2 linked regions of the Drosophila melanogaster genome follow. The protein of the gene in region 2 interacts with the protein of the main gene of each other region in a pairwise test. Each region holds a gene or a part of one and is shown on either strand. Other genes may lie near its edges.

Region 1 (6,018 bases), on a different chromosome or scaffold from region 2:
CTCAGCCTGGAGCTGCACCGACACGACAATGCAGTAGGCGGAAACAACTGCAATCTTTGCCTTAGGAGCTTCTGAGACCGGAAACGGACACTCGGCGGCTTTGTAACCTCCACTTTGCGTCCAGCGATAGAGCACGAAAACCAGTCTTGTGAGAATTACCTACATACGAGTATATTATACATATATGTAATCGAGTATTTGAGTCGGTAGACCGCAATTTTCATTATAGAAAGTTGTTTTCGAGAATATCCATTAACAATAAAGTGTGTATGTGTGTGCGGCGCCATACCTTTGGCTCCATACCTTGAGTAATGCACTTCAGAATGCGAATACGAATGCGAATGCCCTGTGCCCCGTGGGTGGGAGTAAGTTCATCGCCCACCCATCCATCCATCGATCCATTCCGGCGCACGACCCGCACGTGTGCTGGACGCTCGTGAGAATCCGTAGACCTTTGGCTTTCCCACGAGCCACGGCTGCGATTTCGTGGGTTCGTCCCGTTGTCGGTGGTGCAACTTGCCCGCCACTATTCATCCACTTGATTTGGGGTGGGTTCCGGCGATTCGGAGCGAGTTTGTCCCACGCTGGCACTGCCACTGGCATTGGCCATTAGACATTAGGCATTTTCACTTTGCTGCTTGCCGCACTCGAAACCTGAGCGACAGCATGCCGAATCAAATGAAAAGCACTTTTTATAATTTTCGATTTTGATGTACGTTTTTGAAATTGATACGGGGCTCCATTATAGTCAAGCTTACGCCTCGACCATCGAAATTAATCGAGAAAATGGGAGAAATGCTACACTAAATCATTTTGTGGGGGAGAATAACTAATGATATTTCCAGTTATATGCGAAATTGCAACATATAATAGTAAAGGGATATAAAAGTATATACAATAGTATAGGGATTCATATAGCAATATTGGGATTCTTTAGGGTGACAGGACAAAGGAGTTGAAATGAACATTTTAACATAGATATCTACAGAAGAATTATTTTTGCATAACGATAATTCAAGTATAGTTTTTATTAGGGAAAGTTATGTCAAACCACAACGTACATATATATGTAAATATATCAGCTCCACCGTATACTGTTTTTCATTCGCATTTTAATTGTTTTTAATCTACTGCTAGCTTTAAACACACATTCCGTGCGGCTGATATAAGAAATAATGGGAAATTTTGGATGAAATAGTTTATCATAATAAAATTTATAGGTAATATTGACATTGATCAGCTTGTTATATTGAATTTATGAACACAATACTGTCAAAATATATTACATTAAAGTTAATGGGGAAACATTAACCAAAACAGACAGAACGTTAATTTCGATGTTAACTATCTCAGCTTGTAAAATCATTAGAAAAACTGACAAATTTTGGTGGAATAGCGATCAAAGCTGTCAAAAAAAATAGTGAAATCAAAAATATCAAAACATTTTTCAAAAGTTTTAGATTGACAGCTTGTGGCCATTAGACTGGGAGTGGCCAAAATATTTTTAAAAAATATGACAATTTTGCAAAAGTATGGACGTGGCAGTTTTAGCCGGTTTGTGTCCTTAAGAGTAGGCGTTGCAATCTTCTGTAACAATCTAGCTCTTAATCCTAGTAACTAGTTTTACATTCATGCTTTTATAGTTCCCGAGAGCTCAGCGTTCATACAATTACAAGGAACAATTAAGGAAGTTATAAGATTAGCCAATTCAGCAAAAAATTTAGAATGGATTAAATCATGTGAATATTCGAAATGCAGTGACAAAGCGCATCTAAGAGTTTATAATGGCAAATCAAAAAGATAAAGAAAAAGATAAAGCTCACGTCTGCTTTTTCGTAAAATTGTACAACATATTTACGTTTTACCGTCGCCATCCAAGTTCCTTATATCCCTTTGTGATGAAACGCTGCTTTCGATAACATTAAAGTGAATTATTTCCGCATTAGCATATTTCTAGGTAAACAAGTCGATTTTACCTCGGGCAATTTCTAGGTCAACTTCGGTCACCTGCTGCCGCAGTCGTTGTTATCTCGTCTCCTGCTCCTGCTTCTGCACCTGTGGATGTTCCCGTTCCCATTCCGGACCCGGGATGCCGCAACCTTGAGCCGGCACTGACCTAGAACTGTGTGGGCCACCCACCAGCACGCGTCCCACTGCACAGATAGAGGTCAACGGCGGCTGTTGCACTTGTTGGGGCTTTACCCGGCGCCACGCGATGCCACACGACCGGCGCGTGCTCCAGTTTGAGTTCCATGGACGGGTGCAGCCGCTCCAGCGGCAAACAAGTGGACGGCGGACGCCGCCAGTTTGTCGCCCACGGCGCCGATTAAAGGCCGTGCTGCAGATGCTTTAGATGCTTTAGATGCTTTAGAGGCTGCTGAAAGGCTATATCAGATGGTCGGGCGATACAATCGGATGAATCGATGACAGAGGCTTGCTCATTTGCCGGCGCTGGTCGCTCCTTGTCGCACACTCTCACTTGCTCACTTGGCGGCGATCGCCGCGCGGCGAATATGTTTGCTTCCCGTTTCCTACCCCAATCTCGGCAAGCACGCGCTGCGCGTTGCCAGGGGGTGGTTGCTGCTGCATCTTATTGGACGGCTGCCGCAGGCGGTAAAAAGGGGTTGAGCGGCGGCAGCGGAGGGCAGGTCGTCCGCTCGACGTGTGCTACAGAATCAGTCGAACGCCGTTCGCGCACACGATAAGTCACGTGCTCAAACTAGCTCCGCCAGCCCGGTCTAGCCGCCAACTGCATCTGCCTCTGCAACTAGCAGCACGCAAAGCTACAGCTCAGCAACAGCAACATCAACACAGTAGTGTCAAGTGCGCAGGAGCAGCGAGTAAACACTGGTCACCACACACAATGGATCACAACATGCACGTCAATGCGCCATCGCTGCATCACTGGGGCTACGCCGCCGGACCCGGCGTGGTCATGCCCGGCGCCACCGCCACCACACCCCAGAGCCACTGGGTGCCGCCGCCGCAGAGCCACCACAGCGCCCACAGCAACCACAGCCACGGGCATAGCCAGGGCCATAGCCACGGCATCGGCAGCCTGAAGCGGACGCTTTCCGAGAGCGACTGCGACGATCTCTACTCCGAGGAGTCCTCCAAGGAACAGTGCGTACTCGTGACTTCTTATCAAAATTTGTTTTTCAATTTAGTGCACAAAAAGCTATTCGCAGTTCCCAAGTTAGGAGTTGTCTTGTAAAATGAAACCTTTGAAAATACCATGCGATGTGCAAACGTTTTATGTTGCTAAAAAAAATAGTGCGTCATGATATTTACTTAGTGAATCGAAGTCATGGATAACTCCACTTAACGCAAAGTTGCTGATAAACCATCAAAATATAAATCACTAAACTATAGGGTTTTAAGAAAAGATAGATTTTAAAATGTTCTGTAACTTAGAGGTTTTTTTAGTAACACCATAGAGTGTTTTTCAGTCTATGAAAGATTAAGATATTAAGATTAAGAATCTATCATTAACTTCAATCCATAGCTAATAGAAACCCTTTCCTCTGTTCCATTAGAATCTCGCCCAGTGAGCCGGGCAGCTGCCAACTGATGAGCCGCAAGAAGCGACGCGGAGTGATCGAGAAGAAGCGGCGGGATCGGATCAACTCCTCGCTCACCGAACTCAAGCGCCTGGTGCCCTCCGCCTACGAGAAGCAGGGATCCGCCAAGCTGGAGAAGGCCGAAATCCTTCAGCTGACCGTGGAGCATCTCAAGAGTCTGCAGTCTAAAAGTAAGTTTACCAAGCCCACTTGAGCTAGCTTAAAGAGGTTTTAAAAAGCAAATAGGCTAGCTGCACCACAGACCTCCTCACTGAAGTTAAACGCTTCTATGGGTCATTAATCACAATAGGAGCAAATAGAGGGTTAACTTGGGCAGCCAACTAAGTTGGTTAACTAAAAGAAGTAAAGTGTAAAGAAAGTAATTTCTTATTTCGACAGTTAATATTACATTAGGGCCCATTTAGCGCACTAATTAATCAAGGCATATCTGACATACATATGAACTTCAATACATTATAAAAAATTGGAATGGGAAAAACTGCAAGCAGAATCCCTAAACGCAAGCCGCTGTGGGAAACAATTGAGTAACGATATTAAATACAATATGCGGCAAATTATCACAAATCTGGGTAAACAATCCTGACCTGTTGTCCCGAACAGGGTCGAATTGTGGGAAAATTATGATTGCCGTAGGCAAAGCAGGACCACCACCACCAGCGCCAGCCTAGCGCTCAAGTGAATCTCGAATCTCGGGGCTTCCCACGCTCAGTAGCGGCACCACCACGATGGCAACCTTGTAGCCAGGCGCGGGCTTTCACCCCCCGATAGCCACCTCACAACAAGCCATCCCGCCGAAGGACATGGGGGTTGTTCTTTATGCTCGTCGCGTGGGAACAGCTATTTTAATTGTTTGCCTGAACTGGGATTAGACAGCTTATTGACTTTCTCCACCTCCTCGTATCTTGTTGCAGCTCTCGACTCGCTTAGCTATGATCCGCAGCGAGTGGCCATGGACTACCATATCATTGGGTTCCGCGAGTGCGCCGCAGAGGTGGCCCGCTATTTGGTCACCATCGAGGGCATGGACATTCAGGATCCTCTGCGCCTGCGCCTTATGTCCCACCTCCAGTACTTTGTGCAGCAGCGCGAACTGTCGGCCAAGAGCTGCGCCAGTCCGGGTGGCTGGTCTCCGGCTGCTCCCAGCTCCTCCGGCTATCAGCCAAACTGTGCGGCTGCTCCCTACCAGAGCTATGCGGCGCCAGCCAACCCGGGTGCCTATGTGTCCAGCTACCCCACACTAAGTGCCTCGCCCTCTCAGCAGGCTCAGCAACTGGGAGGACGCACCAGTGTCTCGCGGACAAGTGGAAGTGCCGTAACTGAATCGCTGCCCAGCCATGATCTCCACTCTGACAGCAGCAGCCAACAGCAGCAGCAACAGCAGCAGCAACAGCAGCAGCAGCAGCAACACCAACAGCAGCAGCATCAGCAGCAACAGCAACGGACGCAGACAACACCTCAGCCGACGCAGCAGCAACACTATACCCACGACCACAGCGCAGTGCATTCCGAGCAGCAGGTTCCCACCTACATAGAGCTGACCAACAGCAATCGTCCAGCGGCCATAGGTTCCGATAGCCTTAGCTATAGTGCTGCTCCTCAGTATCCGGTCAGCGGACTGCCAGGCCAGGACTACAACAACTCCAGTGTGCTGCAGTACGCCACTCCCAACGGAGCAAAGCCCTATCGTCCTTGGGGCGCCGAGATGGCCTATTGATTGTGGGCATAAGCCTCAGAAGGGATATTTCAACCTCTAGTCAGAGCAGACCAAGTGTGATAGTCTTAAGTTTCGCATCCTACACAGAGAGAAAAAAATGGAGAAACAACGCAGTGAGATTAGCTAGTCCCGTAAGCCTTTAAGCTTAAGTTATACCCTATGATAACTATAACTTTGAACACTTTGTGAATCTATTGTAAATAAACGCATGAGTGTATAAGTGAATATGTTGAAACTCGCTTGATAATTGATATTCGGATCAGGAAAGCCTTTCTAGTTGTTATATTTCGTGAAATCTCGACGTTCATACAGACGGACAGACGGACATGGCCAGATTGAATCAGGTATTGATTCCGATCAAAAATATATATATAATATATAATATATAAGAATATATATAATCCACGAGTAACGGGTATAATTATTAAAAACAATCAAAAAAGTTTAAACAAGTAGTGACGATCCACATTCAAAAATTTGAGGTATATCAATGACGCATACTTTGATTAGTGCTATTATTGGATTATCAGAGAAAATATTAATTTTAACGAACATTCTTGAGGTGCGCTTTGTCACTGCGAGGACTACCAGTTCGCCGTCATAGCGGCTGAATTATCCTTAGCTAAATGGGAACAATTCGTTGCAGCGAAAAATTTACCGAATTCTTTTTAGTTTTACACGTCAGATAGCTTAGGGTTTCTAAAAAAAAATTCCAAGAAATTA
Region 2 (5,918 bases):
TCCACACCAGGCTAGACAATTTGCTGAGAACCCTGGTGCACGCCAGGCCGCACTTTGTGCGCTGCATCCGAAGCAATGGAACCGAGGCGGCTCGCAGCTTTGATAGGGCTACGGTGGTGCGCCAGATTAGATCCCTGCAGGTCCTGGAGACGGTCAATCTAATGGCCAGTGGGTTCCCGCATCGCATGCGCTTTAAGCAGTTCAATGCCCGCTACCGTATGCTAGCCCCATTCCGCCTCTTGCGCCGCAGCGAGGACAAGGCTCTGGAGGATTGCCAGTTGATTCTGAAGTACGCAATGGAGCAGCCGCCAGTGCTGGATGGCTCGGTGACCCTGGCCTGGGCACCTGGCAAGCGTCATGTCTTCCTTAGCGAGGGCATTCGCCAGCACTTGGAGCACTTGCGCACCGAGATCAGGCACAAGAGCGCCACCCTGATGCAGGCCACCTGGCGAGGCTGGTGGTGGCGCAAGAAGATGGGCAATGGCGGGGCCAAGCGCTCCAAAATCCCAGGTCTTCAACAGGCGCCACTGCCGAACAACAAGACCACGCCGAACTCCGCCGCACAGAACAAGGCCGCATCCTCCACAATGGCCGCCCTTGCCGCTGTGGCAGCTGCTGCTCCCATTTCTGGTGAGATTCCCCCACGGGTATACCCATTCTCCGCCCATCTAATCCCCAAACTCTATGATGCAGTACCACGCCTCTCGGCCAAGACAACGAGCCTGGGCATTGGAGGCACTGTGGCCAGACCAAGGCCACAGCCCATTGCTGGGACTCCTCCGCCGGATCCGCAGGAGAAGTGCGACCAGAAGATCATTCAGCAGACCTGTAACCTGTTTGGACTCGATTTGGTATGTGTTTTCTATTATTATTGCTTGCTTGATTTTATTGAAATATCCAACTACTTTTATTTAACAGGAACGTCCGCCGCCAGTTCCGCCGTCTCGTTCCTACACGATCACCGGGAATTCGAAAATAAGCTATCCCCAAAACCGGGTCATGAAGATGAACTTTCCAGAGGAGGGACAGTCGGAGGCGCCGCAGCTGAAGAAGGGCGAAGCGGTGACCGTAGTGGGGGCCTCCACCGTTCGGGGTCACCTGATGGTGGAGCACAAGGGGCAGAGCTTCCACGTTCCCTTCCAGTTCATGACGCTCAGTAAATAAGGACTACTGGTGGAAACAAACTGGTTATGATTCCATTCATTCCATCTGTTCAACTCTTCCTGATTTTAGACATCCCATTTCTAAAAGACTGTAAATATTCCATTTGGTAGATTAAATAACAAGCATTCTGTCTACGAAGCGCATGCTAACTGAGGTGCTCTAATTGGCCCCTAACTTACGTAGTATTATTATTGTCGCGTTAATAAATAAACGCCAATCGATAGGTTGTAGCTTCAATTACATACCCACAAGTGCCAATCAAATAAGTTCTTCCACCTAATTCATAAGTATTTTACATGTTACTGAGATTACATTATTCGCCGTTAAGTAATTAGTTAAGTAAGTTTCAACAACGACATTCATTTTTTATTTTTGAGTTCACTTAAGAATTGTGAATTTTATTAGACTAAGGTTCATTTTGTCATTCAAATAAACGAAGCATGCATTGAAATATTTAAATTATCTTATTTTATTTCATAAAAAGGAGATGTTTCTGCAAAATAAGTTAATTTTCCGTTTATGATAAGAAAACGAGTTTGTTTTGGTCTGCTAGAAAAGGAAGTAAGTATTCCTTAAATGTCCCATAAATAAACTAATAAGAAAAATAACTTCACGATAAAAGTTCTTTTTTTCGCGCGTTCATTTTAAATATTTTGATACGTTGATTCTATATACTAATAGTGTTGGAAATTGCCGCATTGCATTCAAGCAGTTCAAATCCAAGTAGTTCAAGTCTCAAACGGCAAGCATGCAAACAAACAGCTGACAGTATTTGTTTTTGGTAATCTCGTTTTGAACAAAAATTTCGATGTGAGATGGAGCAAATAAATGAAGATGTTTGGATAGATATACTAAAGTACCTACCAATGAGGGATCAGTTGTCGCTGGTCGAAGTCAACGAGAATATATCGGCATACGTGAAGTATCATTGGAGTCATCTCAAAACAGTGACTCTGACCCGCGAGGATCTGGATTTTCTGGATCGGAATAACAGTTAGCGCTGATGTTATAAATTCGATCCATTAATAATATATGTAACTTTTAACTTAGAGCTGATGCACGAATGTCTGGGTGGCTGGTCGGCAACGGTGGAGCGTTTGAATTTGCAAAGTGCCAGCAGTGATCTGCTGAGAAAGTGGACGGAATACGACTTTCCCCACCTCCGATCGCTCGACTGCCACATGGACTACAATCTCGAGGAGGCGGACGAGGAAACCCTTCTGCTAACCGAGCTGTTCCCGCTCTTGACACGGCTGTCACTCAATAGCAGCACAACAGGTCGTTACTTGTGGCACTGGAAGCAACTAAGGGAGTTGAATCTCACCTGGTGTGAGTACCTGGACCCAGACCACTTCGAGGAGATCTTTGGCAACCTACAGCTGACCAAGCTGACTATGCTCTATTACGGATATAACGTGAACCTAGGCGAAAAAGTTGTGGACATAACGCGATGTACCACGCTTGAAGAGCTGCACATCGATGACCACCATTTGCTGGGTGATTTCCTGCCCCGACTGATGAATCTGCCGCACTTCCGCCGCTTGGCCTTTTACACGCGAGACTACTATGAGTATTTGCTAGGTTCGGTGGCCAGGCACAAGCCGCTGAAGGTTCAATCGCTTCTCTTCAACGACTCTTTCTGGAGCAGTGAACGGGTGGCGGGAAGTATACTGCACATGACCAATCTTCGTCGGCTGGTCCTGCAGGAGGATGACATCGATGCGCAGCAGCTGCACACCATCTGCCACAAATTGCCAAACTTGGAGGAGCTACACCTTTTGGCGATGCGAGAAGTTCCGTCTCCCAGCCACCTGTGGAACTCTATAGGTCACTGCCATCTTCTTAGGATTCTTAACCTATCGTCTACCAAGCTGGTGGACCTCCGAAGCTCCTGCCTGACAAAAGTTCTGCTAAGTCGCAGGATTCCACTGACCCTGCATCTCCACAACACTGGATTGGATCCTAGTAAAGTAAGTTAAGCACAACATATTGTTCAATGACTACTAAGTTTAATTATCTCCGTAGGTTCTACGGGATTTTGATAGTGCCTCCTTGAAAATCTCCTTTGAGCCGATCCATTTGAATATTTGGAGTCCGCGATTTGTGGAAATCGAATTCAGTCCAGACTCGTAGTAGTCATTTGAAAAGACTTAAATGACATTTCTACCTCAATCCGTCCGGTATACGAATATATATGTAGATGGAGATCCAAATGATATATCCTGAGTAAAATGTTGTACCCTTTGCAAGGGTATAGAGTCAAATAGCTTAACAAAACCACAAAATCTTTTATCTGTCTACCTACCAAAATCGTATTAAATTCAAGAAAATAATCATTTGTCTTTTAAACTTCAGACGTACTACTTTCGATTTTTAGAAATTAAAGCTTCAGATGTAACAACAAATATAGGCTGCTAAGATTTCACAAGAACAATAAATAAGAATGATAAGTATTTATCTTTATTGGGGCCAGTTCACCAAGCTTTGTTTACCTGCGAAACCGAAATGGATAGCAAACATTTTGCCTCAAGGCAGTTGTGCATTAGAACTCCTTCAGTACGGTTACCATTGGTAATGGATCGGACAAATCTAAATGAATTGAAACATAAAATGCGTCGGATTTTGCATTGTGGACACAATGAGACTGCGGAACTAAAATACAAATTGTTTGAAGTTCAAAAAGAACTGGATGAAGCTAATGACTTTATTGCCGAAATAAAATTTGAATTGGATAGTGTAAGGTGTTGCACATCCACATTCGTTCAACATGTAATCGACTTCTATCTGAGCATAGGTTGATATACTGGCACTCCAGAATCAGTGGCTGCGCGATGAATTGATGATGCTAAAGGCCGAGGAGATGGGTGTGATTCATAGGGACTTGGAGGAGGATCCAGCAACTCAAAGGGAGCGTCGCAGCTATCGACAGCAAGTTTCTGCTGGAATGGTGTCACCTCAGCTTGAAAGCCCACTCCAGGAGCAGCGATACGGACGCAAACTGGATTAAACTAATGGCTGATTACATTGCTCGAAATCTGAATTTATTTATCATTAATGATATTGTATGATAAATCTATGCCATTAGCCGCTTCCGACTACACGCAAACCACTTAAAATATAAGACTTATCTTTGTTGTCACACTTCATAAAAGTATATTTCTGAATCAGAGAACTGAAATAAACTCAGTATTTGATAAAGATACAACAAGATAAACTGCGCCTAATTAGGTTTACATTTTTTCAGTTAATAATTATCGATTCCCACTTTGACGCATTTATATTTGCACAAAATATATATTTATGTGTCTACGTTTAATTACACACCTATCCCATTTATTACCAACTGCGAATTGAGTGTGTTGAAATTTATGGTACCTCAAAGTCCACTTATCTGGCCATCTCATCTGACCTTTCGAACTCCATGCATAAATCAGTCGATCCTAACTCGCCTGTAAATAAATAAAATCAATTGCATTTGCAGCTGGCTAGCTTTCTTAATGGCTGGTTGGTTCGATTTGTAATGCATTTGCAACTCCCAAACGGAAAGATACATTTTATGAGCTCAGAGTGCGTCAGGTGTGCGAAAGATAAATTGCTTATTTCCAAAATGGAGGAACCCCCCTTTAAAGAAATAACGAAACTCAAACCAGTTCTCAAAATGTAGACTTTTATTTGATCGTGTCCGACTCACGTTAAGATATATGTTTGCAGCATAGACACAATAATTATTAAATATATATGCAAGTAGAATTCCGTAATATATTTGTATCGCATTAGTTGTACGTGTGCTTTAATAATTTATATTTACAATACTTAAAAGTCGCGTGAGACCAAGTTGGCTATTGATAAAATAAACTTTCAGTTTCGTTGGGGTTTTTTTGTTTTTGTTGGCTTCATTTTGGGGGCCAAAAGTGTGTTGTTAGCATATAAGTATGTATATTTGTGTAGATCTTTTTTTTTAAATTTTTGTTAGTTTATGTAAGACATACCTAGTTAAAGATTTTTTGCGCGATTATGCTTACACTTGAATATATATTTAGGATATATTTATTTAAATTTCTCCCTTCTCTCTTTACCTTTCTTCCATATTTTCGGGTTAAAACGAGCAATTAGCACTGAGTTAAATCTGGGATGAAAATTTGCATAAATTGTTTTCAACATTTTTTCTTTCGGAGCAACAGTTTAACGCTTTTATTCGCCTTTGGTATATATAATTTCGATATCTGTTGAATATTATTTTCGTATAACTCTTGAAGGGAAAAAAAATTTTGATGAATTGCATGAGGACATTTCCGTAATAAATATTTATGTACAATGAATAACAAACAATTAAACGTAATGCAAATGAAAGATCTAGGAAAGTATCAAAGTATGGGCCAAGTTTAGGTGGAAAAAGTTGACGTTCGTCCTCAACGTTCACAGGATTCGCAGCCCGGTCTCATCCAGACGCCTTAGACATCGGTCTCGGATCGTCGCCTCCGACCGGGTCCTCCGGCAAAGTTGGCTGCAGCCAGACCCATGCGATGTTTCGCCTCCTGGGTACCCGAATATCCCCGGGCCAAGCCAAAGTCCACGGTTCGTTTGGAACTTTGGAAGAGAAAGAAGTTTAGCAGTTACAAATGATTTGGTTAGATTAGGCTCTAACAATTAACCTTACTACTGGTAGCATTTAAATGAGTAAGAGAACTTTAGTTGCACATATGTATTAAACAATTTCTAATTAGACAGTTATATCTGTCTTCAATACTTACTTC

Evidence for each region.
Region 1: the proteins of CG13088 (region 2) and Hey interact in a two-hybrid assay, tested with the Drosophila melanogaster proteins (one large-scale study listed by BioGRID).

The regions. Positions count from the first base shown.
Region 1 is NT_033778.4:7,994,938-8,000,955, reverse strand, and holds Hey (Hairy/E(spl)-related with YRPW motif), read left to right. Parts: upstream 1-2,677; 5' UTR 2,678-2,863; coding exon 2,864-3,123; intron 3,124-3,536; coding exon 3,537-3,751; intron 3,752-4,492; coding exon 4,493-5,295; 3' UTR 5,296-5,518; downstream 5,519-6,018. Other genes in the region: CG11191 (uncharacterized protein), read left to right, coding at 1-75. UniProt on the Drosophila melanogaster protein: Transcriptional repressor which acts as a downstream effector of Notch signaling.
Region 2 is NT_033779.5:8,487,052-8,492,969, forward strand, and holds CG13088 (uncharacterized protein), read left to right. Parts: upstream 1-1,929; 5' UTR 1,930-1,979; coding exon 1,980-2,157; intron 2,158-2,214; coding exon 2,215-3,134; intron 3,135-3,189; coding exon 3,190-3,297; 3' UTR 3,298-3,495; downstream 3,496-5,918. Other genes in the region: dachs, read left to right, coding at 1-630, 694-851, 919-1,164; CG43400 (uncharacterized protein), read left to right, coding at 3,775-3,900, 3,959-4,171; Dh31 (diuretic hormone 31), read right to left, coding at 5,616-5,751, 5,916-5,918.